Arabidopsis thaliana: one gene and its partners. Each later gene encodes a partner of the first gene's protein in a complex. Each region holds a gene or a part of one and is shown on either strand. Other genes may lie near its edges.

Region 1 (7,041 bases):
TATTAAGGTTTTCAAACTTTGAAGAGATGTTTTGTGAAGAATTTAGTTTGAACTGTTGTAGTGACTAGTCCGGTTTTCGTTAGTTGGTTGGTTTTTGGATTATTATTGATCCAAAATTAACATATTTGAAATTAAACTCAATCCAGCTTTGTTATATTCAAATTTCCTTAGTTCTACCGAGTTCAATAGATCTTAGCATTCGTTTATCTTCTTCATATGACCCCCATGGAATTATGAAATTTAGTTATTTTTTTGCTACAGTTTTTAAATTAACACCAATGAAATACATAAATTGACCCCTATGATCATTCCTTTATACATTTTGACCCCTAGAGCTGCAAGTTCTAGTTCCGCCACTGCCTATTTCTCTGTAGATTTCTGTAAAAATTGAAGTAACCACACAACAACCAAAATTCAACATATTTGAAACACACAAAAATATAAAATATTATTGATCATATCCAAAAAAGAAAAAGAAAAATAGACGATGATCAAAAACTCCAAAAAACAAAAATAACGCCAAAAGGAAATCGGAAAAATTCTCCTTCGGACCGAAACTATAACGATCCTCTAAACCCCTCCAATAAAAAAACACCAAGTCCTTACTTAAGATCTCTAAGTAATTAAAAGTTTACCTATAGAGAGTTATAATTAATTACATACTTATTATATTACTAATCCTGAAACCCAATCTTCTCCCAAATCGCGTTCCTCAATCGCCTTAGATCTCTTCCTTTCGCCGTCCCACCGATTCCTTCGTGCACCGTGAACGACGATCCTCTCCGTCTTGCCAAATACTCGTGCGGCGGAATCATCCGTCTCCCACCGTCGTTGCTATCGTCATCATCCTCGTCATCGTCGTCACTGTCATCGTCAGGTATCGCATGACCTCTATACTCACTCTTCAAGATCTTAGACCAATCGGGGATATTAACCGGAAGCGAACCGGTCTTTGTAATCTCCCGGTTACCTGAATCTCCGGTTTTCGTCGGTTTTCTCCGTAACCGAGAGATTGATATCGATCTTTTCGCGTCGAATGAATTCGGCAATTGATGATCGCCTAAGTTATGAATATCAGATTCGTCGAATTCAAAGACATTCTCATCGGACATCTCTGGTTTTGGTTCTGGATAGATATATTTAGGTTTGACAAAAAAAAGCTTCCTTGACGCCATTGATGAAAAACAGAGCGTGTAAAGAAGAATAAAAGAAAGATGATGTTTTTATGAAAACTGGATTCTGGGTTTTGATCAGCTTGTAGAAAAAATCTGAGAGGGTTTTTGTGAAATTTGAGATTGAAGGAGAAATGTGTTGAGATGATCATTTTTATAGAGAAATGTAGTAAAGAGATAAGCTCTCTCATTGGGTTAAACTTATGTGAGTTTATGACTTACACAGTAAACGACAAAAGTACAAAAGAAGATAAAAAAAAAAGTTTATAAGGTGTGGCAAGTCTCACGTTCTTATCGTGAGCTCTCTTTTTTTGTTTCACTCGTCCTTTGTTTTTCTTTTTCTTAAATAGTAAAAACTTTATGAGTTTATGATCAAAATGATGATGTTAATGGAATTTTTATCTTCGTCTTTGATTTAATTTAAGTTATCTTAAGATTTAATGTTGTTAGATATGATTTTTTTAGCTGTTTTAATTTTTTTTTGTTATTAAAATATTTGTTAATTTCTATTTAAATTGACAAAAAAATCTAGAATACACAAAAAATATATTTATTTATTATAAAGTAAAAATATTTACTATTTTTTAAATGTAAAAACGTAAGAATAACATCATTAGTGGGGTGATTAATCACATCCAAACAGCAGAAATCGAATTAAACTGAAAAGCCATTGTTTTAATTAAACCGAAACTAAACCAAAAGAAACCAGACTTATACGAACCGTCCGAACACGTAACCGAAAATTTACGAGAAAATCAAAACTCGTTTCGTCATTATTGACCTCTTGCTCTACGCCGTCTTCTCCAAAGCAAAATCAAAAGCTTCTTCGATCTTATTCTCGTCTGGTTATAATTTCCGATTCTGCATTCCCAATAGGTTCGTGTTTTTGTTAACCCTAATTTCTCTTTGTACCATGGTTGCAAATTTTATCCAGAATCGTTGGAGTAAAGTCTTAGATTTTGGATTGAATCGTTTGTTGCATCGATTAGAAACCTTAATTTTAGGAATCTGTTACTGATTTTGCTTAGTTTTTTATTTGGATCTGTAGGGAATAATGGCTACAGCTACGTATCCGCCTCCTCCACCATATTACAGACTCTACAAGGATTACTCAGAAAACCCTAATTCTGCTCCTGAACCTCCTCCTCCGATTGAAGGCACCTACGTCTGTTTTGGAGGCAACTATACTGTGAGTCTCCTCCACATTTCCCCCTCTTTAAAATCTTCATCTTTATGTGTTTTAGTAGTTTTCATTTTTTTTGGTTCGTAGACTGAAGATGTTCTTCCAAGCTTAGAAGAACAAGGAGTGCCTCAACTTTATCCCAAAGATTCTAATCTTGGTATGTCATTGTTTTAGCTTTGTGAATCAAACTCAAAACCCAATTGTTATTTGCTTTCTAGAGTACGGTTTTTGGTTCTTCCCTTAATTGGAATCAAACTTATTACATGAGTTCATTTGCCTCTTTGTTTCGTTGAAGAAAGTTTCAAATATCTTTGTGTGTAGATTACAAGAATGAACTCAGGTCACTGAATAGAGAACTACAGTTACATATATTGGAGCTTGCTGATGTTCTTGTTGACAGACCTTCTCAATATGCGAAGAGGATTGGTGAAATTTCTTCTATCTTCAAGAATTTGCATCACCTTCTCAATTCCTTGAGGCCTCACCAAGTAAAGAAGATCTCATCTTCGCTTAACTACAACATGATTTCATCAGTTTTTGTTTTCACTGTTTTGATCATCTTCTCTTATGTCCAGGCGAGAGCAACGCTTATTCACATTATGGAACTTCAAATTCAACAGAGGAAACAAGCTGTGGAAGACATTAAAAGGTGTGCATATTTTGTTTGTATACTGTACTTAATGGTGTGCTTATATCAATCCATCATCTGTTCAAAGATTTTTCAGAAACTTTGTTGGTAGTTCTTATGGGTCCGTTTGATGTTTTTGGTTGTGCGCAGAAGAAGAGAAGAAGCACAGCGACTTCTAAAGGATGCTTACCTCACTTTAGATGGTCAATAGAGTCTTTTTTTGTGTGTGTAAATTAGCAATTAATAATCTGTCTGTTATTGTTATTGACCTTCGAAGCTTATTATAATTTGTTAACACTAAAACAAAGTTAATTTGACAATCAACTAAGACTGAATAGTATGAGGATTGTATTAATTAGACCATAATTAACCGGGTTTTCTTTTGAAGGAAAAGAGAAAGAATAAACCGGTGATACAACCGAAACGGAACTATGATATATCGAACATACATTTGATGTGAATGGATCTGTCAATATCTCGAATAAAGAATTTGATTTAAGCAGTTGATTGACACCTGAACCGATGTTTTAGAAACTCATAGAAATACAAATTAAAAATAAATGTTCAGTTTATCCAATTGCAATTAGCCAGTTTCATTTCTTTTAGTTTTATCCAATCTAAAAACTCATTGCAGTTAATTTCAATAATATGACTCTATTGTGTATGAGGATTACTAGTGGGATTGTCCACAGAGGAACATGGCCCAACTCTGTGCACACATTATTGGATAGTCCAAAGATGAATGACACGTCGGATTATTACACCTCTATTCAGTAAACAAAATTGACACGTCCGATTACTTCACGTGGACTAAATAGGGACATGCCTTGTTCACTTACTTAAATAGTTTCTATCAAAATAAATAGCAAATTGTGGAATCATTTTTTGTTTCCACAATGACTCATTTTCTTTATCAATCTTGTATTTTTGTCAACCATATATCAAGATAAAACAAAAACATAGTGTTTAAAAAAGAATTATAATTTATTTATTTAGTGTTCAGCTGTTTGATATGACTTTCTTTAAATTATAATAATACAAAATAATTACATATAATTTAAAATACACCTGATAATAAAAGGATTACGTGGGCCAATAATAGGTGAGATATCACTTGTCAACATAAGTTGGCCCACTGGACCTCATCTCAATTTGAAAATTACGGATATTTCAGGCGTCAGTATCGCGACACGTCACTCAGCTCTCCAATTTTTTCATTCTCTTGATGCTGAAAGACGAAAATGGACAAAAGAGACCAGATATTAACGACGCTTGGTACATCTTGCGAAATACTACTAATATTTTACCAAATGCATGATGGACAAAATGAAAATGCAATAGCCAACAAATTACAAGTAGATGATATTATTGTAGAAACAGGAAACATATTATAATTGGTAAATCTGTTGGACAATAATCTGAACATAACAAAACATGTGGGGGACTCGAATAAATTTTATAGCTAGGGTCATATATAAAAGGACATTCACTTTTTGTTTAGATATATTCTTTGTAATTTTGTATAGACGTTCATTGCCATTATTGTAAACAATAAACATAAATAACCAATGCATTATGCATTATAGATATAATTGTAGGTTAATATATAGCAATGAAAATAGGTGGATTTAATCCTTATAAAATCTTTTAAAAAATCTAGATTCATAACTAGTTGTGTATAATACATATGTCAATTCTACAAAATTCACAACTAGATAATAAGAGCATCTCCATTAGTAGTCTGTCACATAGTTTCTTATTAACTAAAAAATATAAAATAATAATAGAGTAGGAGAGAGATAGAAGAGAGATTGAGAATAGTTTCTCTGCAGAAAAACTTTCGAGTAATGATTGAGAGACTATGTGTATATGTGTGTTTATAATTGGACAGAAACTAAATCATAATAAAATATTATTATATTTTTTTTTTTTAGAAACTTTTAAAGTATCTTACCAATGGAGATGGCCTAATAACTCCTATAACGATACTTTATTTTAATTTTGCATGAATTATCATATATGCCGCGTGCATGTATAGAAGATGTGTATCCACCATGCACGTAGACATTCATTGTAGATTTGTTGTTGTACATATCCACATATAATATGTTATATTTATGTATCACTTTAGCTTACTAAAACAAAGAAGTCATAATTCATAAATAGTTTCAAGTCTTGTATGTGTTTTATTTCCTTTGTCGCACTCACACTACCTATACTTCTTTTATACTATTGCTTTCCTTACAACTAAATTATGACGTTTGTGAGATTTTATTATACTAGAAAATAATCGTCAAATAAAAGAGCGTCTTTGCCTGTTGAACCAATTACTATTTAAAATATAGAGTAGTGTGGTCAATTGATTAATTATTGGTCGATGACCTCTACATAATTGGAGCTTTGAGATACATAACAAAACACAAGTACCAAGAAAAAAAACAAATAATAATAATGCATGTAGTAAGATAATAATCGAGCTTCTTAAATCTTCTCTTGTCTTTAATAATATTCCTATATATTCTAATTATGCATAGAATCCTACGTGATTAAGAAACATCAAATTCTCATTGTTCAGCCGTATGATCGTAATCTTTCTTGTTAGTTGCATATCTTCTACTTGTTGGGATTTCAATTATTGTTTTATCACCGAACAAATAACTGTTGGAAAATTTCATATTATGTCAAATGATCAGCTCCGTATTGTATCTATGCTTATGTTATGTTCGAAAAATGGACTCCTAAAAATGACACATTACAAAAAAAAATAAAAATAAAAAATAGCTTCGAGGCCTTTGAGGGTAAAAGCTCTAACCTCTCTCATAAAAGAATTAAAAATGGATCTTTGGATATCAAGAAAATTATTTTGAAATAATTAAATTGAACCAAAATCAGAAAACAAAACACATGACATTGTTGATTTGTCGTTTACTAAACCGATTTTCATTTGCCTAATTCTATTTTTATTGTGTTAGATCAAATAATGATGTCATCTTGTGTGTTTTACAACTAATAATAATTAAATTAGCAATTAACTATGGTAGACCTTAGCTTCGACCACCCTATACAAGCATATATCAATTTCGGTTATCAAAAAAAAAAGAAAAAAGAATCCGTTTGTAAAATTTTGCTAGTGAATTATATCTCTAATCCATATTCTCGATTGATGAAACATTATTCTGACATACATTAAAAAATTAGTTTAAGAATATTTTTGCAAAACTTATGCGATGTGATAAGCTCACTTTTTTTAGGTGACATGTTCGATCATAAGGTGCCAATAATTCCCTAGAAATAGATTAATCTCTATGTAAAATATCGAATCGTCTAGTGACAAGTACATGGTATACCTACCTATTCACTTATTATTTCTATTTTTGTCGTCCTCATGCATCTTATGTTATAATATCAAATGACGGAAAATGAGGGATGAATTCTATAAGCTAAGAAAACTAAAATAAGGGGGAAATTGCAAGAAGAATGAAAGCAACCTTTCAAATATCCTTATCTTATCCAATCCTTTTCAGGCCATTGACTTATTTTCTAATTAACCTAATTATATATATAAGAAAAAGCTAAGGCATCTTATATTTATATATACATATATCAATTGATTGCTAATAATGTTTTGATTAACTCTGCATATGGCATGTTTTCCAGCGATTTAAGTTCACAAAGAAGATTTTCGTTTTTGTCATCACTAAAAATTATCTAGTTCTTTCTACTTTTTCAGCGTACAATAATCTTTTTTTCTATCAATTGGTACGTTTTTTATTTTCTCAATTTTAATTTTGTTTTCTAGGTACATTTTTAATCGAATTGCACCAAAATATCCAAACAAATCAATAAAACAGGCAGAATGAGGTATTACCGTATTAGTTAAACGAGAAGTGGCTACTTTCCTCAGCGTGATTAAAATGCTTATGGGTTCAGTTTCATAATTCTCATATACGGAACTACGCATTTGACCTCATGCTCTCTATAAATATTAAGATCTGATGTTGAGAGCCCATTAGAACTAAGTTTACGAATGAGCCCATGATAGTTTAACTTGGGCCTAA
Region 2 (8,002 bases), on another chromosome or scaffold:
AAAGTTTTGAACTTTTCCGGAGATTCTCAGTTGAACACCCTGAAGTAAGCATCAACGTTGAATGTTGTCGAGCAAAAGAATCTTTGTCGCAGCTCTGGTTTGGTCTAATGTAAACATCATTTTCAGGTTTATTGGTCATTTGTTATCGATGAGCTTTCACTTGTGTTTCACACTCCTCCGAGGTGTATCCTTAACAAATCAAAACCTGAAGGGACTTGGCTCCCTGATGCAGTTCTTAATATCGCTGAGTGTTGTCTGATGCCTTCAAGCCATCCCAAAAAGGAGGATGATAGTGTGGCTGTTGTATGGCGTAATGAAGGGTTTGATGACTCTCCAGTCAATAGAATGACCATTAAAGAGCTTCGGGAGCAAGTAATGTATGTAAGATGAAACTCTTTATCAGTCATTCTGTTGTGTGATCTCATTATTAAGCTTCCAGTGGTGGTCTTGATACATTTACTTGAAAAGGTTGGTGGCAAATGCGATAAGTGGAAGTTTTGAAAAGGGTGACACAATTGCAATCGATATGCCAATGACAGTTGATGCAGTGATTATATATCTCGCAATCATATTAGCTGGTTGCATTGTTGTCTCCATCGCAGACAGCTTTGCAGCTAAAGAAATAGCAACAAGGTTGAAAATTTCGAAGGCAAAAGGCATATTCACTCAGGTTTGTGACACACCCTGACTCACATCTTTTCGCCTTGTATCTATCCCGTACCATGTGAAATATCTCTTATTGCGTTTTCAGGATTATATACTCAGAGGAGGTCGAAGGTTTCCTTTATACAGGTGACAAAATTGATCTTTCTGTGGCTGATTTTGCAACTCAATGAATGAACAACATAATAATTATATCTAAACTTGTCTCTTTTTTTTTCCTGTAGTCGAGTGGTTGAAGCTGCTCCATCTAAGGTCATTGTCCTCCCGGCTTCAGGTACTGAATTGCATGTTCAGTTAAGAGAACAGGATGTATCATGGATGGATTTTCTTTCCAACGCCAAACCCCATTCTAGGTAAATTGTTTACATCTCTACACTTGCAATCACTCAGAGAGTGTAGATAAGACATGCTCCAATTTTGCTTGCAGTGGAGAGAACTACTATCGTCCGATTTATCTACCTGTAGAGTCTGTGATTAACATTCTCTTCTCATCTGGAACTACAGGTAAAAATAATGTGATCATCAAATTGTAATAGATTTTGTTTAGATGCATCTAATGATTAGTTCTTTTTTCTTAACCAGGTGAGCCGAAAGCTATACCGTGGACACAACTATCACCAATTCGTAGTGCTTGTGATGGATGGGCTCATCTTGATGTCCAAGTGGGTCACACATATTGTTGGCCTACAAATCTTGGATGGGTAATGGGACCAACTCTTATGTTCTCCTGCTTTCTAACTGGTGCAACTCTCGCTCTCTACAGCGGGTCTCCCCTTGGCCGCGGTTTTGGAAAGTTTGTTCAGGCAAGACATCTCCATTGTTGTCTCCTTTTCAATTTTAGTAAGGTTCGATAAATCCTCACTTATTTGTGCTTGATATTACTTCAGGATGCTGGAGTTACAGTTCTTGGTACTGTTCCAAGCTTGGTGAAAACTTGGAAGAGAACAAACTGTATGGAAGGGCTTAATTGGACAAAGATTAAGTAAGGAGCAACAAACCTTGTTTTGTTTTCGGGTTTATACGAGAAATTTTAACTTAGAAGCTGTTGTGTTTTGTTAGGTTTTTCGCCACTACAGGAGAAGCTTCCAATGTTGACGATGTTCTCTGGCTTTCTTCTAAAGCTGATTACAAACCTGTGATCGAATGCTGTGGAGGCACGGAACTTGCTTCGTCATACATCATAGGAAGCCCTCTTCAACCGCAGGCTTTTGGAGCGTTTAGCACACCATCCATGACAACTAGAATCATCATCTTCGATGAAAATGGCGTCCCATATGTGACAAACTGAAACTTTAGACATTTGGAGTATTTTCTTAGAATATCCAGAGATTGATGTAGACTGGTTTTTGCAGCCGGATGATCAACCATGTACTGGAGAAGTCGGTTTGTTCCCCCAGCACCTTGGGGCCACGGATAGACTTCTGAATGCAAATCACGACGAGGTTTACTTCAAGGGAATGCCCATGTATAAGGAAACAGTGAGTAGTTTTAGAACTTCTATATTTACATCTAAACAAAATTGCAAACTTACGTCAGTTAAACGATTCCTCTGTTCTGTTGCGTTCTGCAGCGACTTAGAAGACACGGTGACATTGTGAAGCGAACTGTTGGAGGATATTACAATGTTCAAGGTAGAGCTGATGATACCATGAACCTTGGAGGCATTAAGGTACTACATACATTGTATGTCTATATACCCAACTTCGATTAGAGTTGGAACTTTTCTCAAGTTTTCATCTTTTGTTTATCTGTTATAACGCAGACGAGTTCTATTGAGATCGAACGTGTGTGTGATCAAGCTGATGAGTGCATCTCTGAGACAGCTGCAGTCACCTTAACACCACCTAACGGTGGTCCAGAGTTGCTGGTCATATTCGCAGTCTTGAAAGAAGGGTTCAAGCAACAGAGTGGAGAAGAGCTAAAGATGAAATTTTCAAGAACCATTCAAAAAGATCTTAATCCTCTCTTCAAGGTAATCAATATCTTTGATGAGTTTTTCTATAAATTCAAAGTTATTATAAGATTTTTTGTGTGCTTAAAAATGGATTTTGCAAAAATATTGCAGGTGAGTTTTGTGAAGATTGTGCCGGAGTTTCCAAGAACAGCTTCTAGCAAGCTACTGAGAAGAGTCTTGAGAGATCAGATTAAGCAAGAACTACTATCCTTACGAAGTCGAATATAAAGCCTTGATCTTAAGTTTAACTAGAATAAAATAAGATCTGCTGAGTAGTAGTTGATCTACACATGATTGGGTACTGCTCGGTCCAAATAAGAAAACCGATTAAATCAAATCTACCGGTCCTTGAATTCTCTAGCCTGATTCACATTTACATGACTAAACACTTTGACTTTGTTATGTTTGTGTTTGTGTTTGGTGTATATATTTCATATCAGATTATAATCTTAATTTTCCTCAAGATTATCTTTTGTTTAAATTTGTAAAAATATTTCGGACGATACTCATACATCCCATAAGGCTTTGAGACATCTGAATAGTATCACCACGAATGACCTATGGAACCAGAAGACAACTAGCCGCACCCAACGATACAAAGATAGCGTTAAGATCATTCGAGGTCTAGCTATATCGTGGTATACAAAATCTAGAAAATATAAAGTAAAACCATAGCATTGTTTGGTTCATTTGATTGATGCAAGTCAAACAAACTCGAAAGAATGAGATCTTAATACCAAAACTTCAAAAACACTTGATATTAAACACCTTATTTGGAGGAAACTCTTTTATGATGCTTGTGGTTGGCGGTTTTTTTTTTTGAACCAGAGTGTTGTGAAAATAATGAATTGGGCCTGACTAAAACAAATTGGGCCACAGAAAAAAAAAGAATTAGTAAGAGCAACAAAAAAAAAAGAACCCTAAAGAGCGCGTTTGGATCTGGTTTTATGAAAACCACGAGAGATTTCGTGTTGAGATGATTATGATGTATTGAAGAGTTTTGATCAAAAGAGAGATATAAACCTCGCAACATCAAGAGAAGATCGAGCTAGAAATTGACAACGTCTTCCAATTCCGAGCGCTTCAAGACGATGATTTTGGGGTTATAGCCTATAATTTGAAGAAAAAAAAGGATTGAACTTGTTGTATCTATCCCCAAGTGATGTGGACTAATGTTTTCAGAATTGTAAGTCTTATTCTATCATCTTTTTCCCATTGTGTGTGAAAATTGACTTATTGGTAATACATGATGATTTTTCTTCTACAGGGTGGTCTACATAATGTTTCTTGGTTTCAGTTTCTTCCAAGTGAAACTGAGCTGAATCCTGGCTTTGATAGAAGGTTAAAGCTTTAAGCTTTTTCAATGGGTTGTTTTAGTTTTTCCTTATTGACATTGTACTAATTAGTCTGGTCACTCTGGAGTTTTTTTTTCAGTTCAAGAGCTGAGCAGAATGAAGTTGCAACATATCTTGTACTTTCCTCTCATCTACGGTTGCAGAAGGAAGGGTTTCTTACCACTTGGACCAATTCTTTTGTTGGACCTTGGGATCCATCTCAAGGTTTATACAACCCTGGTAATGCTAAATCTCAATCTGGTACTTTTAAATTTTGTAACTTTATTTACAGTTGTATCTAACCATCATTCCTCGCTGCTGCTCAGATGAAAAGATTAAGCTTTGGCTTTTTCTACCTGGGCGTCATTCATCAATATCTGATAAAGCTCAGGCTGCTGTGTCAAAGCTTAGAGGTATATTCTCCTTATGATTTATTTTCTTCATCGTATTTTGTCGCCTCAATAGATTCAAACATATTGTCTCTATTCTGATTATGACTGTTTAGTGAACATGCCTGTGGTCTATGGTTATCTTGGTATACTTGTCCTTACTTTTCTTTTTCTCCTGTTGAAAGTTGTTGCGTCAGGAATTTGGGTAGCACCTGGGGACTCTGAAGAGATATCAGTTGCCTTTTCACAGTCTTTACGTAATTGCATCGAAAGGTTAGTTTTTTATTATCTGCAGACATAATGGTTGGATTAAGGAAATAATGGATTAGAGTATCATATTAACTTGTTTGATATCGCCACAGAGCATTATCTGGAATTTCCTACATGAGATTTGGAGATGTGTTTTCAAAATTCAGCCCTCAAAGCGAAGAATATTTGAGGTATCTGCAACCTCTTACCAATATAAGCGAGACCATGCGTTATAATCTCTGATGGTTTATTAGCAAATATATCGTCTTTTTTCTCTATGGCTTTTCGATTATGTATTATCCTATAGCTTTCATTAAATAGGGTCTGTGAGACCTAGGTTTCCTGAGTGTAATTCTTAGAATCCAAAGAATTCTATGATTAGGTCTGTGGCTCGCTAATGCTCTGTGGCTCGCTAATGCTCTGTGGATATTTATGTAGGAGGGGACAGCCTACTGTTGAATTCATCTTTGCTGCTACCGAAGAGGCAGTTTTTGTCCATGTCATTATATCTGCCAAGTCCGTAAAGCTTTTTGTTATACTGTTTCAGTTATGGTTTAGTGCTTCACATAGTTATTGAAACTAACTATAATATTTTATGCACGAAGGAATGTCCGCACACTTTCAAGTGGCGATGCTGAAAGAATGTTAAGGAGTTCTTTGAAAAACTCCAGTTATAGGCTTCCAGGTTAGTTATTTTTCCATCATCATTTGGATTGATAAATTATCCTACTTGTCTACGATTTTGATGGAACTAGTTCTAGATGTTTGTTGACCTCTTCTTGCTTTGTACTGTTAGAATACTGTATAGATTGAGAGCATTTTGAACTCAATTTTCAATGCATCCACTCCAAAAAGAAACCTAGTGTAGTCTAGTGCTACTGCTACCTAGCTTCATCAAGCAAAGATTTAACACCTCATTTTTTTGCATGTCACAAGAGCTTTTCGTAAATGTTTGGGATTGGCCAAGAGTGAGGATAATAGATTATGCTACATGTAATTCTATGAAGCCAAACTTTTTGAATTGATACCTGAAATGAAATCCGCCTTCTACACATGCTTAAAGAAAGATAAGAGCTTTTTATTTGATAGAAACACTTCTCACAGGCCTATGTTATTCCCACCAGTTATTGTTTCTCCTCATGGAATGCGGGGCAGCCTTACTGGATTCTGTCCCAATGACCTTGTCAAGCAAGTCTACTTCAGGTACATTTCATACCTTTGCTTTCGAATGCCAAGTCAACATTTTTTGTGAGTGCGTAGCCGTTAATCTGATTAATCCAATTTTCTCAACTAATACTTTTTTCTCACACAGTTCTGGAAACTTAAAAACTTCGACTGGATATGTTGGTCTCCCTTCTCATATTGGTCGTGGGTCCCGTCTGATAAATGGCAATCATTGCTACGTGGAAGTTACACTTGGTTGCTGCCAAAATAGAAATGACAACACAAGTCAAGCTAATTCGACCTTTGCAGTTAACTTGCCCCATAACCAGTGTCCTGAACCTTCAGTTGGGAGTAAAGATCACCGTAAAGGACAATCAGATCTTTCATCAGTTTGTGAAAAAAAGTTCATCTATCCAGCTGAGGCAGTGCTTGTACCAATCTTACAGTCGGCATTTGCGAAATTTTCTTTGAAAAGGTAAATTGACTAGGTGAGGTGGTTATTTAGAATTCATTGAGTACTTAACGGTAAGATCCAGATTGGCTATACATAAAATTTATTTCGTTTCTGTTGAATTCCATGTATGTATTAAAACAAATTGACTCTGTGTGATCGTAGTGGAAGTTTTAGTAATTGTTTCAGACCCATGTTAAATAGATGTAATAGTTGTGATCTTTCCTCAGCTTGGAGCTGATGCAAGGTGAAATCATACTTGCAGATTTTGGCTTCAAAACTGGATAGGCCCGTCACTAGCAGGCTCATCTTTGTTTATGCACTGGTGAGTCTTTTTCATCTATCTCGTCGACATTTGAAGATCAAAAGAAATCCACAAAACAGAGGTCTTGAAATGCCCAAACTGTTCTGAGAAACCGAATGTTTTGTAATCTTCATTATTTGAAGCACCATAGGAGTGAGAGCTGTGGCATTTCCGAGTTTTGTTCCAATGTTATACGTAACGATTTTGTTTTTCATTATAACAGTCTGTCCATGATCCCTGTATATGTGAACTTTATTTTATGCAGGGCTGGTGATTTTGACTGCCTTGGTGCGTCTGAAAATAAGAGTGATGGGTTTTATGAAAAAAATGGTTACAATAGCAGTGGTAGTAGCCGTAATAGCAGCATTAGTTCAACAAGTAGCGCTTCCAGCGGGAGCGGCTGGAGGATGACGTCAAGAACTGGTGATCTTGACGCTGATGCAGATTCTTTGACGTGTAGGCAATCTGGTCTTACTTGTAATGATGATCGCCTAAAAATGGTACGACTTTTATCTATGGAAGGGATGGAGTTTGCATGGTACTGATGAGGAAATTGAATTGTCGATTGTAGCACTAACATGCTTAATCAACATCATATAATGTAGTTTTCCTTATTTTATAATAATTCACGAAGCTAACCAATAAGTAACATAACATTCTTTACAGGGTTCCAAGCGGCCGCGAACAGGGATGGCAGAGTCATTCGGTCAAGTAGGTACTGTCACTGATGCACCTATTCAAGAAGCATATATGTCAGGATTTGTTTCCACTAAAACTAATAAACTGGTGTTCCAGGCATTGAAAATGATCAAATTGGTTGGGATTGGGATGCTGATGATGATGATGATGACAGAGAAGTTGGCATGGATATCAAGGCACTTCTTTCAGAGTTTGGAGACTTTGGTGACTTCTTTGAGAACGATGCTTTACCTTTCGGGGAGGTAATTTTCCCGCTTCTGTTACTGATCATAATAATAATCAAGAAACTATTATCTGCATTCCCTATGCTGGTGAATGATCTGTAGGTCCTGTATTAGCTCAGATATCTAGACTGTATCTCAGAGATGTTTGGTAGGAAGGGTTTTCTGCTTCCCTTTCCCCATTTCTGTCATGCCTTTTATTTTGATTCACTCATATTGCTTTCGGTGTCAATTCTTATGTCATTTATTATGTTTGTGTAGCCACCGGGAACTGCAGAGTCGCATGTGCTCGTTTTTCCTCCAGATTCTGCTGATGTAGGTTCCAGTCCCGTGGATATGATGGATGTATCAGACCAAATCGTTTTGCCTGTTGGGTTTTCCTCTTTTGAGAGCTTTAATCCTGTTCCCCCAATCATTGATGAGTGCCTTATTAAAAGTCAAGAAGTTCTCCACAGCAGTATCACTTCAGTTCCTTCAAATCAAATGTCGATCTCTTCGACTGGTGAGTTTGATCATTTACTAAAAGCAGAAGCAATGATGACCTTTGCTCCTGAGTATGGAGCTGTAGAAGCAC
Region 3 (9,838 bases), on another chromosome or scaffold:
TTAAAAACTTGCATAAGAGCTCTGAAGTTTTTTGTCCTCCAATGGTTAAAACCACTAATGGGGTTCTCTAAGAAAAAAATTCAAATTTTGTAAAACAATACATACATCCTTTTTGTTTGGTTACAATACATGGTTTTACAAAACATATTCACAAAAAGAAACAACTCTTGGTTGCACATGTTTACTTTTACTCGCTATAATACATTTCCAATTATTATTAATCAAGAGAGTACTAGAATATGAATTAACTATGCTTTGGTTCCGACAAGACAGTGAAACAAGAATGACATTTGCACAAGACCTTTGGTTCTGCCTCCTTGATCTCATCTCCTGCTTCGTCCTATTGACCAAAGAGTTATAATCATGTCAATTACAGAACTTAGTGAACAATGATCAATGTATATTGTGTTGATGCTTACAGTCATATCTGAAGTCCAGAAAGTGAGATTGTCTCTAAGAATCTTCATAATCAGGGTACTGTCCTTGTATAATTCATCACCCAATGCATCCAACTCAGCGATAGCACATTGGCATTGTCCAACATACAAGAACAAAGATCTTGCAACGACAACATTTAGTTTAAGCAATTAATGAATAAAAGCAGCACAAAGAACATAATTACTAGTAACGTCTTCAGGTGACAAAATATGTACCATCATCAGAGCCTCCGGTTGCAGGCCGTAAACAATCCTAGTGGCAAAGTAACAACACATGGTTATGGGATCTCAGAAGCTTCTTTGATTCTCATAGCACCAATCACAAGGAGAGTCAAACCAACGACTCTTGTACCCCAAGTCCTTATAACTTCAGTGTGAAGCCTATTTCAATTTCAAGGTATAGAGCAGTGGATAATCTCAAGGTAAACTACACAGAAAAAACTACAATTCACATAGATAGTTCGAACAATTACTACAAACTTGATATTTACGATGTTTCAACAATTACTTGATCATGAAACCATAGACTACTAGTAATGAATCCAATGGTTCTTGAAACAACTGAAACCTATAAACATTGATGCTTCTTCAAAAACCACCAATCCAGTAACTTAAACCAAAAATAGTCGCAAACATCGATATAAACAATACACTGACGCTAATCCAGAAGATTCATAGTCGTGAATTACCTTAATACTCTGATTCAATCTTCGAGATGTATCCGGCGATGGATTCTGGCGGAAGAAGCATGAAAGGGAGCTGTCTCGGCGTGACTGGAGACGGCGAAAGGAGGTAAAGCTAAGACCCAATTTCTCATTAAGCCCATCTTCATTAAAAACAAGACCTAAACGTGAGAAGTGTGTACGTATGTATATAATGTCTTCTTCCTCTCGCCGCTTATGTTACGAGCACGCAATGTTAACCTTATCAAAATCATAGAAATTTGATCTCAACTCTCAAGTCACCATCATCCTCCACTATCGAGTTCACCATCGTTGTAGTTTGTGGTTGTGGTCCCGATCGTGTTAAGTGGTGACGTGAAGTTATCGTCACGTAACATCCAACCCTAATCATCACCATCTGAGCCACTATTAGCCTTCTTCGTCCTCCTTCTTCACCGGAATCTAGATCTATCATTGGTGCTTTGTTTGGGTCTGTGATACCGAATCCTCTACTTCTTCGTTGCAGAGTGAGATAACGGTGAAACCTTATTCTCGTATTCATGTTAAGGTGTTGTGTTGTTTAATTATTGAACCAACCTAAACCAAGGGATTACGTATAGTTACGGCCATGAATTGAAACTTGATTATTAAGGAACCTTTTGAGTTGATCGGTTATGGCGTCAGTTGGGTTGTGTTAGTGAAGAAGACGATATAGTCAGTTATTGGCTTATTAGAAAGCGTTGGGTTAATTGTCAAACCAGAAGTAGCATTGACATGTACGTGATTTGAATTGTGGCGTTGGTTTAATTATTAAACCGGGGAGTATTTGGTCACGTAAATGGATGTGGCGTAGTCAATTACGTGTTAAGCAACTAATATTAAATTATTAGACTTGGTTTAGTTATTAGATTAAATAACAAATTATTAAGGGAATATAATCTTGATTGATTAATCTAAATTGTTGTAGTTTGAGATCGTTGTTGAGCCGGATCCATTGTTGCTAGTCCTATTTCTTAAAATCCAACCGAGTTGCCAAGGTGAGGGTAGGATCTGTGGAAACATAGTATCACCTTTACTTTTGTATTTCTGAATTTCATTTGTATAAGATTAGACATTGGGTGCTGATTGTTAAAATGTTAGGATTATATATTAAATATTGTTGATTCAGTAATCAAACAATGAATTTGTACTAAGGGATTTAGACAAATTCACTCCTCTCTTAGCTCACAAATAATCAAAGGAAAAGAACTAGGTTGCTTAAACAAAAAGCTAGGGTTTGCTCTGTAATAGTAGTCTCTTGTATTAGGTTAAAGATGATCTCAATGGGGGGTTTGACCCCTCTATTTATACAATAGGTCGAATATACCAAAATATGATAAACTTCTAATTATCTTAGGTTTAAATCTTCATTACTTCTATTCTTCATGAGATCCTCTTCTCTTAAATGGAAGTTTTCCCTTTACACGACCTAAGAAGTTGGTTATGGCGATCTTGATTGTCGACTTAAGTCTTCGGGCGATCTCATGACTTAGGCCCATTAACAGGCTAACCGGGATACCCCGGTTCAATCGAATTCTCGATTTTATTCACATTATTCCTCGGTTTAAATTAGTATTGTCGGAGGTGCTAATTCCTGCACCAACAAATATTATAATACGTGTTGTGTGATATTATGCGATAGGTTGTTAGCGTGATATGCATATTGATTTTTGAATACTCTTTTGTCGTTTTCTTGTACTATATATTTATCTGTTTTGTGTTACCATGTTGAGTAATTTCTCTAATCATTCTTTTGTTTGTTTGTTAAGGTTTAGCGAGGCGGTTCTTGGTCAAAGCCTATACATACATCTCCCCGTTAGGACGCATAACTTAATGGAGGGAAATACTAACTGGAAGCCTAATGAACAAGGCGGAAACCGTGATGCTGCGAATAATCGTATTGATTGGAGATCACAACATGAGCCTGAATTACGGCAAAAGGTTCTTTCAAAAATGTAAGCCATTCTTTCAAGAGTTTCATGTTTCTTTTGTTGGACTCATTGTTCTTATTTGATTATTAACATTCATGAAAGAGAGTAAGGTTTTCTTGGTCATGCTTTCGATGTGATATTTGTAGTTTGCGCATGATAAAGATTGCAACAGTTAAAGCATAAGAGTTGTGCATAAATGTTTATCATAGTTGACAAAACCTAACTTCAACCTTTTGTACTTTAAGTTTTGCATATTCTTTTAACCTCATTACCTGCATTTAGGCTCTTCCTCACTAGGAGAATCTTGTTTTACTCTCGCTTCTATGTACAATTGCTTGGCACATATGTATAATTGTTTCAGTGTTTGTTCGCTAAACGATTATCGTAAGTTCGAATATTAACTACGGATTATTTTCTCTGTTTTGTATTTTTAGTGCAATTAAAATGGTATCACTTCCTCTTGAATATCAGTTATAACCAAATTCTTCATAGTCACTGATATTTTGTTCTCATGTATGTGTAGAGTTGAAAAGTTCAAGGAAAAGTTTCATGCACATGAAGAATATAAGATTAACGACATCGCTTCCAAATTTGAAGAAAATTTTTATAGCATAGCAACCGATAAGGTGTTAAACTACAAATTGTTTCTCCATCTATTAACTTCAGAATCTGAATTTGATATCTTACTCATTGTCCCCTTGCTATGTTTCAGAATGATTACCTTAGGAAACTCAGTGAAACACTGCATTATATACAGAGAACTTACACTAGAGTTCTAGGTAATAAGTTTTTGGTTTCATAATTATACTATTTTAGCTTAATAACAAAGAAATCACTAACTAACTTTTTTTTTCTATGTGTTTATCTAAACATCAGCTTCTCAAGTAGTTGTGAATCAAGCTCAATCTCTTCCCGCCTTGTTGCCATATATGCAGACTACAACGAGCCAACAATGGTTACAGCAAAACACACAGAGCAATCTCTGTGTCATCTGCTTTGCCAAGTCAGGTCCCTATAACCGTTCCCGGTTCTCAAAGACAGATACATGGTAGGCAACAACTTCTTCCTCAGCAGCAACAGCCTCAAATGAATCAAATCCGCCATGGTAATTTACGACCTTCGCACATGCAACAACAAGCTCGGTCACCGCAGCCGCAACATCATCCGCAAAGTTTGTTGAAACAACCTATTCAACAGCCTTTTCCTCAATCAAGCTAACAAAACACTCAATCACTGACCAGAAATCAGTTTTCGATACAACGGGTCAGTTTTAGTCATCAACAACAGATGGTTCTGCCGTCTCAAGAACAGAAACGACAAGAACAAGAGCAACTCATTAATCAACTGACGAATCTTCCAACATCACGACCAAACAATAGAGACCAACAAGGAGCTTTTCAGGTATCCTCGTCTCAGCAGAACAATAATGTTACCTTACATGCAATGTCTCAACAGAAGAATAACCTCCAAAGTATGACTAGAGGTCAACAAGTAGGACAATCTCAACCAATGATGTCACAACAATACCGACAACAATACCCCATGCAGCAGGATCCTCAGAACAGAAACTTACAGAAACATTTGGATTTTGTACAAAACAATACCAATCAATTTCAAGCAGCAAGTTCGTTGCGCCAAACACAAAACATAACAGATCAACAGAACCAGCCACAACAATTAGAGAGAGCAAATCCATCTAGTATGTTTCCTCTCTTACTAACTCTTGTGATAATGTTTTTAGTTCTAATAATGAATATCATTGTAGCATCTCAAGATTCTACGGGAAAGACGGTAAATGTCAATGCCGGAAACTGGCAGGAGGAGACCTATCAGAAGGTATCTTCACTTGCTTTGCTCTTCACTTCTTAACATCACAATTAGGGTTTGATTTTGTTTTCAATTGATTCCCATTCTGATATGTCCTGCAGATAAAAAAACTGAAAGAGATGTGTTTACCTGTTCTCAGTTTAATGCACCAAAGAGTTGCGGAAAAATTGCGGGAGGTACTTTATTTTATAACCTAATTGTTTTGCTTGTGGAACAAGAATTTGTTCTAATGGTTTTCTTAATCATTTTTTTTTCTAAAACTTTGTGTTGTTTTTGGTTTAATAAACCTAATGTTTCCAGACTGAATCTCTTCCGCCGCAACCGATGCAAGCTCAGTGGATTGAAAAGCTAAAGGCGGGAAAATTGTCAATGGAACACCTTATGTTTTTCTTAAATGTTCATAGGAGCAGTGTATCAGAGAAACATAGAGACAAGTTTAGTCAATATGAGTACCACATATTGAAATTTACCAAGAGTCAGACCATGGTTTTGAGGCCAACGCAGCAACAACAAGGACAATTTCCTCCTTCTCAAACAGCAATGCAAACCCAAAGTCCTCAAGTCCATGTGTCACAGTCTCTTTATAAGGAGCAAAGGAGATCACGGTTGATGCCAAGTAGCCAAAATGAGGCCTCGTCTTTGTTGCAAATAAGGCCTAAGTTGGATCCAAGAGACGAGAACATCATTATGGCTTCCTCAGGAAATGTCATGTTACCTTCTGTTAAACAAAATCCTCGGGCCGTAAACACAAATATCAGTTCGGTTCAGTCGTTGCAGAAGCAGAAGCGATTCCATCACCGACAAATGCAACAACAACAACCACAACAAGGGAATCATCAACATCAAATGCAGACAAATGAGATGAATGATGTGAGGATGAGGGAGAGGGTCAACATTAAAGCCAGGTTGCTTGAGCAACAAGTCTCATCGAGTCAGCGCCAGGTTCCAAAGCAAGAGTCTAACGTTTCATCCTCTCAGATACAGAACCACTCTTCTCCTCAGTTAGTTGACCAGCATATTCTTCCTGCGACGATTAACAAAACCGGAACCCCATTGAACTCTAGTGGTTCGGCTTTTGTTGCTCCAGCTCCATCTCCAGTTCCTGGAGATTCTGAAATGCCTATATCTGTTGAGTCTCCAGTTTCTGGTGTTGATGAAATAAACTCAACTTTAGATTCTTCTAGTAAACTTGGCACACAAGAAACTCCTCTGTTATTTGTTCCTCCGCCCGAGCCAATCACAGAGCGGCCTATTGATCGACTTATAAAAGCGGTAAGTAAACTCTATAGCTTATCTAAGTTTACTTTCTTTACCTTCTCCTATTTACTGACCTAATTTTTAATGTGTGTGGCTTTCTAGTTTCAAGCAGCATCACCAAAATCATTGGCAGAATCTGTAAGTGAGATTAGCTCGGTGATTAGTATGGTTGACATGATTGGAGGATCGTTCCCTTCTAGTGGAGGATCTAGAGCTGGTTTAGGCGAGGATTTGAGTGAGAGGACAAGAAACTTTACCACACACGAAGAAACAAATCTGTCTAAGAGAATGAAGCGATCAATCAACATTGTGCCGCCAGATATGTCATCACAAATTGATAGTTATGAACAGTTGAGTAGCCTTGAATCTGAAGTTGTTTCCACAACATCATCTGGCTTGAAAGTTAACAATATTGCGGTAAAATCTACTCTATTGGTATCGAACTACGAAAACAAATGAAACATCGAAATAAATCCATTTTTTCAATCTTGTAGCCTGGTTATGCCCTTTTGCAAGAAATCAAAGAAACAAATGGGAGACTTGTAGAGACAGTGGTAGAGATATGTGATGAAGATTCTTTAGGAACAATCGTCACTTGTACTTATGCTCCTGTGGCTCTCAGTGCCACATTCAAAGATCATTACAAGTCTGGAAAAATTGTAAGTTACTTCAAACTTCTTCTTTTTCCTCACTCTGCTCAGATTTTTTATGTCTCTAAATGTTTGATGCAGGCACAGATTCAACCTTTACGCTTACTATTTCCTATGGATTATCCGTATAGTTCTCCGATAGTTCTCGAGGAAATCTCCTTTGACACTAGGTATGAATCTTTCTTAGAAATCAAGTAACAACGATTGGAGTAAATATATATGATCTTAAGGATTTATATCTGCATGTTTCAGTGTACACAAGTATGAGGATCTATCCGCGAGAACCAGATCAAGGTTCAGTTTGTCCATGAAGGAATTTTCAGAACCAGGGTTTTCGAAAGGAATAGCTCAAACGTGGAATGATTGTGCGAGAGCGACAATGGTTGAGTACGCAGAGAGACATGGTGGAGGCACTTTCAGCTCCAAGTATGGTGCTTGGGAAACGGTTCTAAGAGCTTCATGAGGACTAATACTTCCTTTCTCACTCACCGTACAAGATAGTTTTTAGGTGGGAAGCCTTATAGCCCAAGTTAGGTTTTTTTTTATTTCCTTTGAGATAGAAGTAACATTTATTTGTATGGTGTGGCTCATGTCTTCTTATTGTATATATTTTAACAAGAAATTATAATTGTTTCAAAACCGATAGTATAATAAATTATCTTGAAATATTTAGGCACAAAGCCTTTTTTTTAAAAAAGATTTTAAAGTATTTTATTGTTTTTTCTTATTACATGTTTCATTTATAGAGCCCAAAAGGTTGGAATATAAGTTTTAAAAAAGGATTACAGAAAATGAAGCCAAGCCTATAAAACTAAATCATCCTTAGTAATTTAAACATCCACTCATAAAGATTTTGCTGATGAAACGTGTTGATGAAGTGTTTTGCCCTATGACACGGGCCGAGACGTCAAGCACCGCTGTTGAATTCGCGGGAAACCGCTAGAATTCACCAAAATGTTGAGAATCGTCTTTCCTTCTGTCGATCTCGAACCCATGTCCAAAAATCGTCGATATTCTTTCGGATCAAGTGATGGAAGTCGCTTAAAAATTCTTCAAGTATCATTATCGTCGGGGAAGCTCCACCTCTGACGACACCCATATTGATGTGGCCGGATCTTTGTTCATGTGTGTGCATAAAGAAGTGGTATAGATATTACTCGTCGAACTAATTGGTGGGAACATAGAGGATTTGTGAAGAAACCAAAGACATCAACAATCACCAATAGATGGAGATCTAAACTCGCAAGGCAAGAGAGAACTTGATAAAAGTGGTATCAAAAGTCTTGTCCGAAATCAAAATTATTGATATCGTCGAAGCAAAATTTATAAACCTAATTAAACAGAAAAAAAAAAAAACTGAAATTAATATCCGATTTGGATTAGAGCATGATCGTTTCTAAAGAAACGAGAAGGGTAAGAGAAAAAAAAAAGAAAAAAAAAAAAAGCTCTCGAAAGTATCCTATTGATTTACATGACATGATAAGAGATTTATAAAGCAAAATAAAAAGCTATAGCCTCAAAATTGAAACAATCATGCTGTAGATTCCTATTTTTTTTTCTCGCATCCCAAATAATAGCACAACTTTATAGTCTTTAGAAGGTCTGTACATTTTTTCTCTTTTTCTAAAAAAAGTTTTATATCTATTTCTCCATGAATCAAAAGATCTCTATCTAAACTCCCTGAATTGATACTTCAACATTTATTAACCCATATTTTTGGGTTTATTCGGTTAACTATACTGTTAACCATTTATAACCAGAGAAAACCATACATCAACGAAAGAAGAAAACAAAAATACTCTAGCGAGATTTCTCTCTTAGGCACTCTTCCCGAGTGACCCCAAAGCAGTAAAGAGTTTTTGAAAAACCAGATCTCACCCACTTTTACTTCCTATACAAGGCAATTTTACAACTCCGGTGACCTTTCTTTGCTCTTTCTCGCCGAGGAAACTTCTCTTACCATGCCACCAGGCATGGGCGGTTGGACTATCAACTCAACATGACTCCAGAGGACTCAAACCTCACTTCGGCCCTCCCGCTAGAGCATGTTTCTCAACCTTGAAGCTCTGGAAGAAGACTCCAACAACCGTATTCTCTCTTCTCACGGTATGGTTAAACCTTCTGTCCAGCTTCTAACAATATCTTAACCTCGTTGAACTCTCTTGGAACCTTTTTTAGCATTTGAACCAGCCTGTATGTCATGCTCTATGGCTTAGCAGCATACAGTTCTCTTACTGGGGAAGATAACTCTCACCTCTAAGTGAAGAACCCTCTCGAAACTTTTTAAAAACTCTGAAGAACCGTCTCCCATCATCTCTCCCAAGTCATTCTGCCCAAGTCTCATCATGGCCTTAAGGCACTCTTACTCTGCAAAAGGTAAAGACATCCTAGAGAGTCCTCCTTCTCAGACAGAGACATTAGACAGTCCTCTTATAACAATGAAAAGGAAAGATTTCGAGAGTACATACCTCATCCCAGAAGTCGCCCCTCTACACCATCTCTTAGTGAGCAAGACTCTTCAAAGCAGTTTATGCCCCCTGCTCCAAGACGTATCAAAGCCCTACTCTGGACAACTCAGACCTTATCCAGGAAAACTCTCTAACCCTAATTGGACGACTCACAAATCCTTCTATCCAAAGGCTATGGTCCCTCATCCCCTTTCTCTCCAACAGATGGAACCTGAAAGGCAAGGCAATTGGCTCAGACCTAGGAAAAGATGGCTTCCAATTCAGGTTTGACCACGAAGAAGATCTACAAAAGGTTCTAAACAAGAGACCTTACCATTTTGATTACTGGGAGCCTATCATATTTGCCTCATTCCCGTCTCAGATCCCCTTTTAGATTGAAATACAAGGACTTCCTCTACATTACTGGAAGCCGAAAATGTTGACAGACATCGCAGAGGACATTGGAGACCTCCTGGACCATGAACTTACCCCCTCTGCAGCAAGAATCCAAGTTATGATAAACGGGCTACAACCTATTACTAAAGAAACCATTGTGGAGTTCTCTGACCGCAGCGAAGTCCTAGTCAC
Region 4 (7,286 bases), on another chromosome or scaffold:
CCATTTCTACTTTGAAAGGGTTTCATTGGGAATACTTAATACTAAGCTAGAGGTCGAAAATTCATCTATAATCTTATCTTTGGTTTTGTAATCGCAGATGCTAAACTTATGTTGTTTGTACTTATAATGGCGTCTTCTTTGTTACTTTTCAGGTACGCATGGCTGCCAAGGCTTTAAAAGATTTGAAGAATCTTCCTGTCTCTGAGAGGAATATCGACTATAAAACAAAGCTTTTGGTTGGCAAAATGAATGGAACAGCTGAAGATAAACCACCACAAAACTCTGTCCCCTTTGATCACAATCATCCTAAAGGCGATGAGATTGAGAAACCTGAGGCAGAGAGAGTTATCGTAGAAATTGAGTATATAGAATCCAAAGACTTGAACAATGTAACCCAAGTTGATGCAGTTCTCAAGGTATCAATTGTTTTTTCCTGCTAGTATCCTATGCTTTACTGTGAATTCTCATTTGTAATGCTGCCTTGCAAATTTGCAATTATATTCATCTGTTTAGAATTTGGACATTGGAAGTAAGTTGTTTACCTAATACCATTCTGGAACTGCTTTCTTTATTATTCCAGTCACTTGTAACCGAGCTAGACTCCAAGGATTGGGTTTTGGTCTGTGATGCTCTTAATACCATTCGTCGTCTTTCCATATTCCACAAGGAAGAAATGCTGCATATGCTGTAAGTCATTTTCTTTCTACTCGTGATTATGATCAGTTTTAGTAGAGCGAGTTACACGTCGAGAGAATTTTCTAGTCTCACGCTGTCAGCTCTTACAGGGAGAAAGTGATCCTGTTTATCGTGAAATCACTGAAGAACCCAAGAAGTGCTGTAAGTAAAACCGCATGTATGACATCTGCTGACATCTTCAGCTCATATAATGACCATACAATCGATCAATTGGATCTCTTGGTAAATCATCTTTTGCAGATACTCTTGGAATTCTCCTCAAATAGCGGACATTTGTGTGTTCTTATAACAGTAACTCCGAATTCCCTTCTTACAGCTTACTCAACTCCTCCTTAAATCTTCCCAAGACAAGCGATTTGTTTGTGAAGCAGCAGAAAAAGCATTAGTAGCAATGACTGCACATGTTTCTCCTGCCTTGCTGTTGCCAAAGCTTCAACCTTTTCTCAAGAATAGGAATCCTCGGATCCGCGCAAAAGCATCCACGTGCTTCTCCCGATGTGTTCCCCGACTGGTAAATCAAACTGCACTCGATATCATAAAACCAGTCTTGTTCTTTTGTTTTGGATTTGTCATGTCATCACCATGACAACCAATTTGGATCCAGTCCATGTTCCCACCAACATCACCTTTCTTTGGCTGTGTAATCATTAGGGCATTGAAGGCATTAGAGAATATGGAATTGAGAAACTAGTCCAAGCAGCATCGTCTCAGCTCAGTGACCAACTCCCAGAATCTCGGGAGGCTGCACGGGCAGTCTTACTGGAACTTCAGACAGTGTACAAGAAAACTACTAATGTCGAACCGAAGGAGGAGCATCCAGAGCCAGTCACTTGGCAAATCTTCTGCCAATCAAACCTCTCACCTCTTAGTGCACAGGCTGTGATACGTGTCACCAATGTCGCAGGTGTGGCTCGAGAGGGTCTTGTTGCGGGTTCATGACAGTCACAAGCCCTCAGTTTGATATTGTAAGCCTCTGTGAGTAAACGTTGTACGACCACTGTTTCTCTATCTTTGGTTTATGGGTTTGTTTCTTTATTTTGTGTGTGAATATGTCGATGTGGTAAGATAAATCTCAACGACTCAACCGTTAGTTTTAGGCAAAAAGTTAGTCGGTTTATTTGATATATATCATGTTTTAGTCTATATTACATTGGTTTTCTTAAAACTTTTTTTTTTTTTGGCCAAATGTTTTCTTAAAACTAAGATTTCAATATTAAACATTTAGTGCATATACTCTTCTTTCTGTATCTTTGATTGAAAAATTAAAATCCAATTCGTTATAAATTTGATCATATTTTGGTCTATACATTACATTTTTTTTTTTTGATTACTAGATCTCAATATTTTTCCGCAAAGATTACAATTTATGACCACAGAGTTATCAACCATGTAGGATCATCAATAGCAAGTAAACCGGTATAAACCGAACCAGGATCATGCCATTCTGGTCATTACCTCTTGAAGAAGAAACTTTGTATCTTTATAACACGATTCCGTCTCTGCTAAGTTCTTCGTCTTAGCTGCATCTTCAAGCTGTGTCGAAACACCAAGAAAACAACAAATAAACATATAGGATATATCAGAAAAGAGAAGAAATTTTAAAAAAACAATAGTCTCTTCGGTTTGAACGAACCAGGACTTCATTAGTACACTTACCTTTTCGAAATTGTCGAACAATCTGTTGGCTAAATCAGTGAGAGGTTGCTTGTCTTCAGAGGCAGCAGCAGAGATGAGATTGTCGAAATCGTAAAACAAAAATGTGGATTTAAGCCTCAAGTACTTTTTCACATAGTTTAAAGTATCTGGTCCGATCAAATCCTCCATTGCCAAGAGATCAAAAGCATTCTTTTTAACTCTATACATTCTTCCTTTCGTCCCGATATCCGCTACATACACTCCTTTCTTTATGAATGTTCTCGTTCCCGTCTTCTCATTCACGATATCTGTATATTCAAATCGAGGACGAATTCAAAACCGGAAATCAAATGATTCTACCAAATCGAATTCTCATCTTGAATAGTTGTATGGCTCAAAATGTTCAAACATTTGAAGAAAGAAAACAATCAAGAATATAAAATGGCGCTTACTGTTGTAAATAGGAGGAATTGGAAGAGGACCATCAATCCAAAACCCATTGTCTTGTGCCAAGGAAACATTATTTTCGCCGAGAATTCCGGTAAGACCTATTGAGACAGCAAATCCTAATGTCATCCGTCTTGTGATCTGTACCGAATCCGGTTCTTGAAATTCTTCAGTTCTCCTGCAAGCAAACCCGCTGGATTTCCCGGTTTTACGACTCTCGGGTAGTTTCGGAAGAGACGGTAAAGTGTTGGTGAGACTGTTGAGGTCTATGAAGTGAGCCATTGCAGTTAGAGAGTAAGCTTTAGGTGTCAGCCTCTGTTCTTGTGTATTGTTTACGGTTTTTATCCGTTATAAATGAGAAAAGCGGCCATCACAAAGATTTTATCTGAACCAAGGGGTGTTTTCGTAATTCAATATTTTAACTACTCGCTGTTCCTGAATTGATAAAGTAGAGTTCGTGCCGTTTTACGTGACAAAAAAAACTTGTATCTTCTTTGCTTTTTCCTTCACCGATCTGTATTGCCGAGTGTCGCCGATTCCCCAAAATCTTCCCTCCGTTGCTGATCATAAGCACGCCGTTTCCAATCGAAATTCTCCGTGTTATTTCATCGTCTCTGCCATCTTCACTGTCTCGCGTCGCCGTGTTCGATTGAGGTACTCCCACTGCTCCGATTTGAGTATTTAGGGTATGTGTATGAGTGGATTTGACGGTATTGTGATATATCTCAGTTTGGAGTTCTCTCTCTCTGGTCTAAAAGAAATCGTGGAGAGTCCAATGGATCCGCAGACGCAGAACACTTCGTTGCAGCGACTCCAGAATGTTGAGAATGTGAAATTTTGGAAAACTCACTCTTTCCTTAGAGATTTTATTGGACGATTTGATGTGAATGTGTTTTTGTGTTTTTATTTTTGGTTTTCCGGGCAGAGAGTTGTTAAGGTTTTGGAACTAGCTGGTGGAGTGATGGAAGAACTCGCGAGCCCTTCTGGTCCCAAGAAAGAGTTCGTCAACAGCCATTGCCGAGAGTTTATGCAATCTATGAAGGTTTCTTACTCTATCTCTTCTTCAAATATTTTCTGATTTCTTTTGCATTAGTGTATTAATAAACTACCTGATCAAAGAACATTGGGGATCACTTGACACAAGTCTAGCTAGATTAGTGTTCTTGCTGACTCAATCTCTCTGGGGAATTGGTATCTTTTCTCGAGTGTTGATCGTTTGGGCTAATTTGACACAAGTCTATATTAGGGTTCATTACATTTCCTGATCAAAGTTAAGGGCTTTGTTTAGAATTTTGATTTTGGTTTTAGTCTTCAAGATGGCCGCTGCTTCTCGTTTTGTGATTCTTCTGTGACTAGTTAACATATGGGTTCATGTATCACAATCTCTAGGTTTGTATTCCTTTCCTGTTTCTTAGGATTTGACATTGATCCTTTATTCTTAGGCTTAAGGTTTATGAGTGATGGATGCTGATATTTTCATATTGGATGGAATCTCACTGTTTAAAGAACATTTGGGCTCTCATTTGACACATGTCTAGATTAGGGATCATTACATTCTGTGAACAAGTAAAAAGCTTTTGATTCTGCTTTTTTTCTAGAGATAATCATAAAGTTTGAAGATATCAGCTTCATTGTCTGGTTCATGAACTTGTTGATCTTTGACTGTACATAAATGTGCTATAATGTTATCGCCAATCCATAATAAGATGAAGTTCTTGTGAAACTTGCAGGATATACAAGTGACACTAAGGGAAGAGATCAAAAGCGCTTGCGAGTACCGTCCCTTTGAGAAATGCGATTACAACGCGAGAATAGCCAATGAGATCTGCTTCCAGAAGCTTGAATATGTTCTCACGCAGCTTGAAGATCTGAAACAAACTGCTGACCGGTATCCTTCTTCTGATTGATATTGGTATTCATAAAAAGGTTACTTGAAGAACTATACTAAACCATCGGTTGTGATATAGTTTCCAGATGAGTTGTAGACTTGTAGGTTATCCCATTAAAGTATGTCCGGTTTTTACGAATGAGTGGCTTGTTGCAAAAGTAAGATATTATCCTACTTACTATATTAGATTTTGCAAAAAGATTAGGTGATTTTGGTTAGAACATTCACTTGCAATGAATCTGTTCCAAGAATATTAGATACATTACATCCACTGGGAGTTATCAATTTCAGCTTATGGAGAAATCGAACCAATTTTGGGCCAGAGAGAAACGGACCAATTTTATTGCGGTTTAATGTATCGATCAATACTTGGAACCAAATGTGCTAACGTCAATTACGTATATGAACCCCTTCATTCATATGTGGTTTAATAAATTAATAGCATCAACAGCTGAAATTCCCGGTTAGATGTGATAAAACCAAAGCGGTTAAAAAGGGTTAATGAGAACCAATATTGCCGGGTTGGCGGTTACGCCGTTTTGTGCTCTTCTGTTTTAGTTACAGCTCAAGAGACGCGTTGATTGGAGAAGGTGATAGAAATCTCTTGGGTAGAGGGAGAAAATTAGGGTTTAGAGTTGGAGATGAGAAGAGGAACGACGATCTAAGGAGACAAAAGAGAGTAGCTAGATCAGGACGAAATTCCATATTTCCTTCGTTTCTGTTTCTCTCTGAGAATGAGTCATCAATCGCCGCCGATCGCTGAAGTTGATGCCACCGACGATATGCACGAGGCGTTGTTCGCGAAGCGAGGTTGTTGTTTCCTCATGCCCTGCCTTGCCTCATCTCAGCCATCAACTCGCGGCGGATCTGTGTGGTGGCAACGGATCACGACCGTCGACAAACTCGAACCCGACGAGCGATGGTGGATCCGAGGGTGGCGGAGGATGAGGGAGTGGTCGGAGCTCGTCGCTGGACCTAGATGGAAGACGTATATCCGCCGGTTCGGACGCAGCAACTGCTGTGGAGGAGGAGGAGGGAGAGTCGGAAACAGCAGCGGAGGATGCGGAGGTGGTGCAATGCCTAACCGGTCATCGGATCAGGGTAAATTCCGGTACGATCAGTTGAGCTACTCGTTAAATTTCGATGACGGAAATCAAACCGGACATTTTGACGACGAGTTCCCGTACCGAGATTACTCGATGAGATTCGCTGCGCCTTCCTTACCGGTTTCCACTAAATGCTCAATTGATTTCGATAGCGACATTGATAACAAGTGAAAGCCACGCGCTCGACTTTTTATGTTGTCGTGTGTGAGACCAAAATGAGATGGCATTTTGTTTCTTCTTCCAATATTTTTTTATAAATTAGTATTGACTATTGAGTATTATTCTGTCATTACCAATGTAATTACAAAGAAAAGCACCTTTCATCCAAGAAAAAATTTAAATATAGAAATAATTAAACAATTTTTTTTTCAAAACTCTAGAAAAAAATAAAAAATTAGGAACATAGGGAGTAAAAATTTTCAAACCATCAGGAATTAGGTTCATAGGATTTGGATTAGGGTAAAGCGTGTAAGAATTAGTGTAACACTAAGATTATCAGGATTTGGATTAGCGAAAATCGTGTAAGAATTAGTGTTCCACAACTACAAGGATCACTCGTTGATCTGTTTTTTTATAGGATCGCTTGTGTAGCCACCTCTTTCTCCTTTTATGGAATTCATGATGATATATGATCAATTTTTCTCTGATTTTTGTAGTTACCCGTAACCATCCATATTTGCGACTCTTTATTTCTTTGTCAAACAAACTACAATCTTATCTTTTCTTTTGAACTTTTTTTCTGCCACGTATGTTTCCTTGTAGTTGATTTGATCTTACCCTATCATGAATTTGGAAAAAGTTTACCTTTTCGAGGGACTCTATATATATTTGGAAATCACTGACATCATCAAGCACTTTCACCACTTTTGTAGATTCGGAGGAGTAGAATTGCTCGAATGTAATTTACCTGTTTCAAGTCTTTGAATTGGATTTTTAGTGGTGCGTTTGGTTGGATCGCGTTAGGCTTAAGGCAGTAGGCTATCATAATTTTTTGGTGGTTGAAAAGTAATGTTGATAGTTCTTGTGATAGATCTAGTGTGCGCGACCATATGGTGTTTACAATTTTTTCATATTAATTAGTCCATGGAAACATGCATGACATGACCGAAACGAACTTTTATATAAAATGACCAATTTATATAAAATGACCATGACAATTGAATCTTAAGTGAAAGAACGAAGCTATTTTAACCCAAACGATCACGTGAAAATTTTATTTAATCCAAGACTTATCTACATCTTAATAGTTGTCATTTGCTGATGTTTCACATTTAGTTATCAAATTGTTACTCTTTGATCTTTTATTTATTGGATCAAATCCAGTTACGTATAATTTGTAAACTCCGACATGATCTTCTTCGAATACAGTTCACATTCCACAGAGAAAAGATCAAACATGTTTGGTATCTACATTATAATAATACGTGACGTCTATTTATAATTTGGTTTTTATTATATAGACGTCATATATAGTTGTCAAGGATATATTAATTATGAACCTGGTTGAATAACCG

The links.
Region 2: AT5G03220 (region 1) and GCT share a complex: the UniProt entries of both Arabidopsis thaliana proteins name them as parts of the mediator complex.
Region 3: AT5G03220 (region 1) and AT2G10440 share a complex: the UniProt entries of both Arabidopsis thaliana proteins name them as parts of the mediator complex.
Region 4: AT5G03220 (region 1) and AT3G01435 share a complex: the UniProt entries of both Arabidopsis thaliana proteins name them as parts of the mediator complex.

Annotation. Positions count from the first base shown.
Region 1 is NC_003076.8:763,770-770,810, reverse strand, and holds AT5G03220 (Mediator complex, subunit Med7), read left to right. Parts: upstream 1-1,893; 5' UTR 1,894-2,048; intron 2,049-2,220; 5' UTR 2,221-2,226; coding exon 2,227-2,361; intron 2,362-2,442; coding exon 2,443-2,512; intron 2,513-2,676; coding exon 2,677-2,843; intron 2,844-2,930; coding exon 2,931-3,004; intron 3,005-3,133; coding exon 3,134-3,194; 3' UTR 3,195-3,376; downstream 3,377-7,041. Other genes in the region: AT5G03230 (senescence regulator (Protein of unknown function, DUF584)), read right to left, coding at 675-1,175. UniProt on the Arabidopsis thaliana protein: Component of the Mediator complex, a coactivator involved in the regulated transcription of nearly all RNA polymerase II-dependent genes.
Region 2 is NC_003070.9:20,633,815-20,641,816, forward strand, and holds the start of GCT (RNA polymerase II transcription mediator), read left to right. Parts: upstream 1-3,565; 5' UTR 3,566-3,779; coding exon 3,780-3,803; intron 3,804-3,884; coding exon 3,885-3,958; intron 3,959-4,051; coding exon 4,052-4,191; intron 4,192-4,277; coding exon 4,278-4,364; intron 4,365-4,525; coding exon 4,526-4,613; intron 4,614-4,702; coding exon 4,703-4,780; intron 4,781-5,027; coding exon 5,028-5,105; intron 5,106-5,194; coding exon 5,195-5,274; intron 5,275-5,527; coding exon of another isoform or gene 5,528-5,582; intron 5,583-5,678; coding exon of another isoform or gene 5,679-5,713; coding exon 5,714-5,792; intron 5,793-5,901; coding exon 5,902-6,228; intron 6,229-6,469; coding exon 6,470-6,529; intron 6,530-6,773; coding exon 6,774-7,008; intron 7,009-7,174; coding exon 7,175-7,223; intron 7,224-7,303; coding exon 7,304-7,449; intron 7,450-7,689; coding exon 7,690-8,002. Other genes in the region: AAE18 (acyl-activating enzyme 18), read left to right, coding at 1-44, 127-377, 469-670, 752-792, 888-1,016, 1,091-1,167, 1,246-1,466, 1,551-1,645 and 5 more. UniProt on the Arabidopsis thaliana protein: Component of the Mediator complex, a coactivator involved in the regulated transcription of nearly all RNA polymerase II-dependent genes.
Region 3 is NC_003071.7:4,011,180-4,021,017, reverse strand, and holds AT2G10440 (mediator of RNA polymerase II transcription subunit), read left to right. Parts: upstream 1-2,971; coding exon 2,972-3,093; intron 3,094-3,430; coding exon of another isoform or gene 3,431-3,457; intron 3,458-3,592; coding exon 3,593-3,695; intron 3,696-3,781; coding exon of another isoform or gene 3,782-3,848; intron 3,849-3,945; coding exon of another isoform or gene 3,946-4,004; coding exon 4,005-4,117; intron 4,118-4,207; coding exon 4,208-4,332; intron 4,333-4,375; coding exon 4,376-4,768; intron 4,769-4,810; coding exon 4,811-4,905; intron 4,906-4,997; coding exon 4,998-5,072; intron 5,073-5,196; coding exon 5,197-6,168; intron 6,169-6,255; coding exon 6,256-6,570; intron 6,571-6,647; coding exon 6,648-6,812; intron 6,813-6,854; coding exon 6,855-6,973; intron 6,974-7,055; coding exon 7,056-7,266; downstream 7,267-9,838. Other genes in the region: AT2G10450 (14-3-3 family protein), read right to left, coding at 245-340, 420-512, 654-713. UniProt on the Arabidopsis thaliana protein: Component of the Mediator complex, a coactivator involved in the regulated transcription of nearly all RNA polymerase II-dependent genes.
Region 4 is NC_003074.8:164,252-171,537, reverse strand, and holds AT3G01435 (uncharacterized protein), read left to right. Parts: upstream 1-3,249; 5' UTR 3,250-3,432; intron 3,433-3,484; exon of another isoform or gene 3,485-3,507; 5' UTR 3,508-3,553; coding exon 3,554-3,820; intron 3,821-4,508; coding exon 4,509-4,685; 3' UTR 4,686-5,024; downstream 5,025-7,286. Other genes in the region: AT3G01450 (ARM repeat superfamily protein), read left to right, coding at 159-416, 581-687, 786-918, 1,013-1,207, 1,348-1,635; PnsL3 (PsbQ-like 1), read right to left, coding at 2,131-2,229, 2,353-2,639, 2,784-3,060; AT3G01430 (NHL domain protein), read left to right, coding at 5,401-5,943. UniProt on the Arabidopsis thaliana protein: Component of the Mediator complex, a coactivator involved in the regulated transcription of nearly all RNA polymerase II-dependent genes.